2 linked regions of the Pelodiscus sinensis genome follow. The protein of the gene in region 1 purifies or fractionates together with the protein of each later gene. This does not show direct contact. Links are inferred from orthologs where the notes say so. Each region holds a gene or a part of one and is shown in the gene's direction. Other genes may lie near its edges. The genes, in order: IGF1R and RACK1.

Region 1 (3,903 bases):
TGGAGTATTGTGTCCAGTTCTGGGCCCCCACTACAAAAAGGATGTGGATGCATTGGAGAGGGTCCAGAGGAGGGCAACCAAAATGATTAGGGGGCTGGAGCATATGACTTATGAGGAGAGGCTGAGGGACTTGGGTCTGTTTAGTCTGCAGAAGCGAAGAGTGAGGGGGGATTTGATAGCAGCCTTCAACTTCCTGAAGGGAGGTTCCAAAGAGGATGGGAGAGAGGCTGTTCTCTGTAATGACTTGGTAGAACAAGGAGCAATGGTCTCAAGTTGTGGTGGGAGAGGTCCAGGGTGGATATTAGGAAAAACTATTTCACTAGGAGGGTAGTGAAACAATGGAATGGGTTAGCTAGGGAAGTAGTGGTGTCTCCATCCCAAGAGGTGTTTAAGTCTCGGCTTGACAAAGCCCTGGTGGGGTTGATTTAGTTGGGATTGGTCCTGCCTAGAGCAGGGGGCTGGACTTGATAACCTTATGAGGTCTCTTTCAGTTCTACGGTTCAATGATTCTTTGATTTATAATGGAATTATTTTCAATTTTACCATCAGTTTGTGTGTTATTAAGAGATCAGGCATTTTAGCTGGTATGGCAAAAGAGCAAAGTAAAAGGGTGTAGAGGAGTAAAAGTCCACAGGGTTGCCCTGGATGGCTTGGATGCCTTAATTAAGGACCAGTTTTTAAACATTTTCTTTCTCTTGATGAAAGATTTTTTTTTAAATCTACTTGCTCAATGAAATCTTCATTTTAACATTTTTTTAACTAATCTCCCTTATTGAAGCTGATCACCGGAGCCAACCTCGTCCGTATGCATGTTTGCTTGTGTAAGGCGACTAGGTATTGCTTTGGACGCAGGAGTGAGCCTGCAGGGCTGCTGGAAGGCCTGGCAGACACAAAGACATCAATGCGTTGGTTTACACTCTGTTCACGTCTCGAAGGTTTTCCTTGCAGCCATGAGGACTTCCCTCCAGCTTCGCCTCCGCCCCGCCCTCCCGAAAAAAAAATCATCAGATTCCAGAGCAGAAGCTGGCAACCTCTGCAAAACAAAAACACCGGCCCACTGAGCTAGTGCCATGCCAGTCAGACCCAATGCTATTCCTCCTTGCACGACAGCGGGATGCACGAGACCAAGGCATGGGTGCGTGCGCGCAGAGGAGTTGTTGCAGCCTTACGTGCACTTTGCACGGGGCAGACCTAGAGGGGCTGGGCGCGCGCAGCCCCGTGCACTGGGGCCCGGCTGCAGCTGCAGCAGCAGCAGCGCGCGGTCAGCCCATGGGCGAGGGCGGCAGGGGCCGCGCGCTCTGCTCTTGTCTCCGCCGCCTGGGCTCCGTTCCGGACGGCGCCGACGATTCCTCGCTCCTCTTTTTGCCTCGCGCCTACTCCTCCTCCTCCTGCCCGCCGCTGCTGCGCGCGAGGAGCCCCGGGAGCGCGTGCGTGCGCGCGAGCCCCCCAGTGCCAGTGCAGCAGCAGCAGCAGCAGCGGGCGCCTCTTGTTTACCAGCATTAACTCCGCACCGTGCAAGGGAGCGAGCGAGGAGGAGCGGCGAGGGGGGGAGACCCGGCCAGCCCCGCCGCCAACAGCGACAGCCTTAAACCCCCAGCAGCAGGGCCTCCTTCGCCACCTCCCCCCCCCCCCCTTGGAGGAATTACGGACCCTTTGCAACCAGCTCCTGGGCTTTGACCTTCAGCAAACCGGATTCCCCCCCCTTTTTCCTAGCAGCATTCCCCCCTCCCGCCCCTGTCTTGGGCTGGACAAGAAGGGGGGAAGGTTTGCAGCGCGCACACACGAGCGTCAGTTGTGTTTGGATGTTTGTGGCATGGAGAAGCAGCAGCTAGCAGGGATGCGAGGAGAGCAGCAGCAGCAAGAGGTGGAGGAGGAGAAGTGTTGAGCTGCTCAGCTCTCCCCGCGACCGCTTTGTGTGTTCTGGATTTGTGTGTCTGTGTGTGTGCGTGTGTGTGGGGGGAGGTTGTTTTTTTGGAAGGAGCCTGGGGCAGCAGCAGCGCTGTGAAGCTGGGGAAGCCTTTTCATTCATTTTTCTCCCGCATTTTTTAGGGTCTTTCGGTCCCCCTCCGACTTACTTTTGTGCTGGGGGGCGCTGCAAGGGGGGATTCCCTTGGGAGCAGCCTCTGCTCTCTGCTGAGGGGAATCAACTGTCTTGGGAAGCTTTATTGCCCCTTCCCCCATCAGCTTGCTTTGCCCCCCCCCCCGCTTTTCCCATCCGGTTTTGTGCGTGTGTTTGCTGCGTCTTTGTGGGGTTTGAAAATGGAGGCTGAAGATACAGACTGCCAGCCCCAACGTGCTTCGTGTTGGTTACTCCGGTGCCCCTTGCATCCCTGCAGGCAGCGCTGAGGGGGGAGTGTTGCTCAGCGCCCCCCAAGTATCGCTCGTCCTGGGGGAGCCCCAGCCCGGCGTGGTTATTGTTGTCCGTGCGTAGCTGCTCCGGAAGCACCTCCGCGAGGGGGAGAAACACCTTTGAATTTGCAAACCCAGGGGAGGGTGTTTTTGTGTCTGCGCGTGGGAGGAGCGGGGTGATTTTTTTCCCCCTCTCTCCCAAGCTCCCCCCCCTTAATAGAGCTGGTGTGTGAGTGGAGGGGAAGAAATTTTGGACTTTTTTTTGGGAAAAGGGGATCTTGTCCATAATTTTAAAAAAAAGGAATGAAGTCTGGCGCTGGAGGAGGGTCCCTGACCTTATTTCTGCTCTTCTTCGCCACGCTTTGTCTGTGGCCAACAAATGGAGAAAGTGAGTATTTGGCGTTTCATTGAAACCTGCGGGGTGCAGGGAAACGGGGTGGTGGTGGGCGCGCTTGTTTTGCACTGCGGTGACTTTTGAGTTTCAAAGGCTGCGTGCGTTTGCCTGTTACTGAAGCTGCCCCTTAAGCACATTTAATACCTTGAGTTCAGGCTGCTCTTTCCTCTCAACTCACTTGCGGTGCTTGGCTTGGAAATTCGTTTACCAGAGGTTAGACACTCTCCTGTTTCTGAAGAGTAATAGGTCCACTTGTTTCCTGCCCTTACCCCATAATCTTGTCTTCTGTGTTAATTTCTGTAAGCCTCTCCAGATTTCCCCCAGATAGTTAGATTTTAAACTCCCAAGACTTGTAAGGTGCTCGGTCAACATTGCAAGGCCCAGAAATGCATGCTTTGACTGTTTATAGGGGAACAGTGACTTTAGTAACTGAATGCCTTTTTTAAAAAAAATCAGGTGTTAATACCTTATCACTGAAAGAATTTCAGTAAACAAGCAGATACTGTGTTTTGTTTTTACCTAGCGTGGCTTTCCCTTCTTGGGATGCTCAGATGTAAAAGGATTATAGTCAGCATACGAAGATCACTTAATCTCCTAATTACTTTGTATAGATCTATACAACTTGGCGTGTGTGTGTGTGTGTGTGGGGGGGGGGATATGGAGATGGACGCACGGACTGACACATTGGAAGGACTAGGGATTTAAAGATAAAGAAATCAATACATTAGAAGCTCTGTTTATACCTAGAAGTGAAGTTCTGCGGTTGCTTTTAAAAAAAACTAGCGTGAGTTGTTTTCTTCTCTGTGTTTAAATTCTGCCTTGTGGAAAACGTGGTTCATTGTGTGTTTGTGCGTGCGCGCTCTGCAAATGGTTAAGTCTCTAGTGCACAAAGATGTCTGATGTGGCTTCTTGTTGCTGTTTATCTTTTCGGAATCGCAGGGTCTGTCCGTATTGTTTGGGAGTTGCAAAAAGCCCCGACTTCGGGTTTTTGTTTTTGTTTTTTGCATTTCAAACCTGTGATTATATTATCGTGCCCGCCCCCTTCGGTTGCAGGGGAAAATAGAAGGGGTGTGGATGGTGAGAGCTGAAATGCACTAGATTGCAATTATCTGCATATTAATCGGTGCGGATGATCAGTTTGCCTGTTTTGTTAGCTAAGA
Region 2 (3,903 bases), on another chromosome or scaffold:
TTAAAACAAAAATTCAGTTTTCTCCACATTTCAGTGGTGCAAACTTACCCCCCAGATGTCTCTCGGGTACCCCTGAGGGGACTCATACCCTGGTTGAGAAACGCTGGTCTAGACGGTGCTGGGTCCTGCCGTGAGGGCAGGGGACTGGACTTGATGGCTCTCGAGTTCCCTGCTGGGTCTAGGGTTCTGTGCTTTTATTCCTCCGTTCCTCTGCGCTGGTTAGGCCTCAGTTGGAGGATTGTGTCCAGTTCTGGGCACCACATTTCAAGAAAGATGTGGAGAAGTTGGAGAGGGTCAAGAGAAGAGCAACAAGAATGATGAAAGGTCGAGAGAACAGGAGCTAGGAGGGAAGGCTGAAAGAATTGGGTTTGTTTAGTTTGGAAAGGAGAAGACTGAAGGGGGACATGAGAGCCATTTTCAGGTATCTAAAAGGGTGTCACAAGGAGGAGGGAGAAAACTTGTTCATCTTGGCCTCTGAGGATAGAACAAGAAGCAATGGGCTTAAACTGCAGCAAGGGAGGTTTAGGTTGGACATTAGGAAAAAGTTCCTGCCTGTCAGGATGGTCAAACACTGGAATAAATTGCCCAGGGAGGTTGTGGAATCCCCATCTCTGGAGATATTGAAGAGCAGGTTAGATAAATGTCTATCAGGGATGGTCTAGACAGTATTTGGTCCTGCCGTGAGGGCAGGGGGCTGGACTCGATGACCTCTTGACATCCCTTCCAGTCCTGGTATCCTAGGATTCTATGATTTCCTCTCTCTCATATCAAAGAAGGAGAAAGAGCAACTAATGAAATGAAAGGGCGGACACTTTAAAAACAGGAACAAGGAAATGCATGTTCACAGATAAACTTCTGAAAGCAACTGTCGCAGCCATTACGGGAAGCCAACGGTTTATTGGAGTCAAAGGACAATTAGTAGGATGGATTATGAAAACACTTAGGTTATAGCTACACTCGCGGCTTCCTGCGCAAGTGCGGCTGTTCTTGCGGAAGAATCCGCAAAGCGTCCACACGGCCCGCCCGCTCTCACGCAAGGGAATTTACAGCACGGCGTGGGAAGAGAGGGCTTCTTGCGTGAGAGCTACACGCTCTTCTAACAGGGGTAAGCCCTCTTCCACAGGAGCTCTTGCGCCAGAGGGCAGTGTGGATGCTGAATTATTTTACATATTCCGCATGCTAATTAGCTCGCCTATTTTGCATGCTAATTAGCTCTCACATTTGCATATTCACCTGATGATTAATTTGCATATTCATCGTGATCATTAATTGACTAGAATGAATCAGTGGATTAAAATTAATTAATTAACATTAATTAATGTTAATTGGCCCCCTGCTATTTCACGTGGCCTTTGTAACCAGACCACAAGACCCAGCTCCCCCACCCCCACGTGGGAAAGGGCTGTACGGAAAAGGAACCAAGATGGCCGCCCCCATGGCTCCGCGGCAGACGTCGCTCCCATTAGAACGCCGCCATCTTGCGGGCCCTGCTCCCGCCCGGGGGCGGCCATCTTGCCGTACGGAAGCAGCCGCGGCTGCTTCCGCTTCCGGGGCAGGCCGGCGCTTCCTTTCCGCTCTCGCCGTCGCCGGGAGCAGGCCCAGGCCGGGGGGAGTCCGGCTCCGCATCCGCCGCCATCCGCCGCCATGACGGAGCAGATGACGCTGCGCGGGACGCTGAAGGGCCACAACGGCTGGGTGACGCAGATCGCCACCACCCCGCAGTTCCCGGACATGATCCTCTCGGCCTCGCGCGGTGAGCGGGACCATCGGCCCCGGCCCGCGGGGGGGGGGCTTGGGCGAGACCATCCCCCCGGCCCGCGCGCGCTCCCCTCGCGGGGCGGCCGTTGGGAGACACCATCTGCCCCCGCGTGCGCCACGGGCGGTTGGGCGAGACCATCTCCTTAGTCGAGCCCCCTCCCCTCCCGGGAGAGACCATCTCCCCCCCGGCGCGGGGGAGACGGGAAAGACCACCCGGGTGGGGGGAAACGTGGGGGAGCGGCAGGGAGAGACCAACTCGCCCACGTGGCGGGGGAGGGACCATCTCAGTGCAGAGGGGGGCAATGGGGGAGTCCATGTGCGGGGGGGGGAGGGGAAAGAACCATTCAGCGGGGGGGGGTCAGTCTTGTGGGTCAGACCACGTGGCTGGGGGGAGGGGCACAGAGTTGGGGTGCCTGGGGGAGGGGCCCCAGGGGATGGGGGGCAGGGCAAGGGGGCACCTTGAGGCGTGGGGGAGGGGCTAAGGGGTTGGGGGTGCACCGTGGGGGGAGGGGCTAAGGGGCGGGGGTGCACCTTGGGACGTGGGGGGAGGGGCTAAGGGGCGGGGGTGCACCTTGGGGTGTGGGGGGAGGGGCTAAGGGGTTGGGGATGCACCTTGGGGTGTGGGGGGAGGGGCTAAGGGGTTGGGGGTGCACCTTGGGGCGTGGGGGGTTAAATTCCCCCCTGGGGGTGGTTCGGAGGCTCCAGGCCGGGCCTCTGGGCGCTTGGGTTCAGTGCCCGGCTCTTCTTTCCCCTCCTCCCCTCGCCGGGGGCCTGCCCGCCCACCTGTCCGTCCCCCCCCCCCCCCCATTCCCTCTCCCCTCCATGCGCCTCTCAACCTCGGAGGCTCCTCCTGGCCCTGGGTGCCTCCGGGCCGCATTTCCCCCCAGCCTCAGTTTCCCCATCAGTGAGGCCCGTCCTACCTGGGAGGCAGTGACTGGTAGAGCTGCTGGGATAGGGCCGAGTTGGGGGGCGCCTCAGGTAGCTGACGCAGGGGGGCTGGGCTGGGGGTGGAGACCCAAACACCATGGGGGGGGTGGCCCCGTAGAAAGGGGCCCTGGGGCCTTCCCGAGTCCGCCTGCCCGGAGCTGTGCCAGGCCGCGCTGACCCGGTTGCTGGTGGGCTCTGCCCAGGTGGGCCCGGCTGCTCTGCGCCCCTCCTCCCAGCCCCGATGATTAAACTGGTTGTGCGTTGACCCTGCTGGGGGCTGAGGATCATGAATGCGAGAGCTGAGGGTGCCGGGACGGAGCGGGAGCAGAGCGCTATGGGAAGAGCCGCCGGTTGGGGAGACAAGGGGGCCCCAAAGCTCCCTGGGAGCGAACTAACGCCCCCCCCGCCCCGGGCGCAGACAAAACCATCATCATGTGGAAGCTGACGCGGGACGAGACCAACTACGGGATCCCGCAGCGGGCCCTGCGCGGCCACTCGCACTTCGTCAGCGACGTGGTCATCTCCTCCGACGGGCAATTCGCCCTGTCCGGCTCCTGGGACGGCACCCTGCGCCTCTGGGACCTCACCACGTGAGTGCCGAGTCCGATGGCCTGGCTGCCCCGCCCTTCACGGGGGGAGGCCGGCAACCGGATCCCCCTCCCAGAGCCCCTTGGCTTCTGGGTCCCCTTAGTGGGGCCAGAAACGGGGCAGGGGAACATTGGGAGGGGGGTCTCGTGACCGATTGAAATGTACAGTCTAAAACACGAGGGAGACTCCCGCACACCCGCTGCTCTGGGTCCCCGGAAACGTGCGCTCGGCCGTTAGGGGTAGCGGGACCGGCACCGCCCAGGGGTCGGCTCGGAGCCCCTGCCCCTGAAGAGGCCGTGCCGCCGAGACATGGCCGGTCTTGGGGACATCCAGGCGGGGGGGCATCGGGATTTTCGGAGGCGCCTCCCCCCAGTCCCAATGATTAGACCTGGTGTGTCTGTGCCGACCCCCCTCCGGGGGCGTGACGACATGTCCTGCAATTATGATGGGGCTGTGATGGGGGGACATACAAGATGGGAAGCGACTGTCTGGGAAGGAGCATGGCGGAAAGGGATCTAGGGGTCATAGTGGACCACAAGTTGAATATGAGTCAACAGTGTGATGCTGTTGCAAAAAAAGCAAATATGATTCTAGGTTGTATCAACAGGTGTGTTGTAAGCAAAACTCGTG

The links.
Region 2: the proteins of IGF1R (region 1) and RACK1 purify together in Homo sapiens (affinity purification with western blotting; 4 studies listed by BioGRID, with this or other methods). This does not show direct contact. The link is inferred for Pelodiscus sinensis from reciprocal best matches to the Homo sapiens genes IGF1R and RACK1.

What each region holds. Positions count from the first base shown.
Region 1 is NC_134724.1:8,750,597-8,754,499, forward strand, and holds the start of IGF1R (insulin-like growth factor 1 receptor), read left to right. Parts: upstream 1-1,387; 5' UTR 1,388-2,652; coding exon 2,653-2,737; intron 2,738-3,903. UniProt on the Homo sapiens protein: Receptor tyrosine kinase which mediates actions of insulin-like growth factor 1 (IGF1). Binds IGF1 with high affinity and IGF2 and insulin (INS) with a lower affinity. The activated IGF1R is involved in cell growth and survival control.
Region 2 is NC_134742.1:1,211,493-1,215,395, forward strand, and holds the start of RACK1 (small ribosomal subunit protein RACK1), read left to right. Parts: upstream 1-1,552; 5' UTR 1,553-1,644; coding exon 1,645-1,753; intron 1,754-3,103; coding exon 3,104-3,275; intron 3,276-3,903. UniProt on the Homo sapiens protein: Scaffolding protein involved in the recruitment, assembly and/or regulation of a variety of signaling molecules. Interacts with a wide variety of proteins and plays a role in many cellular processes.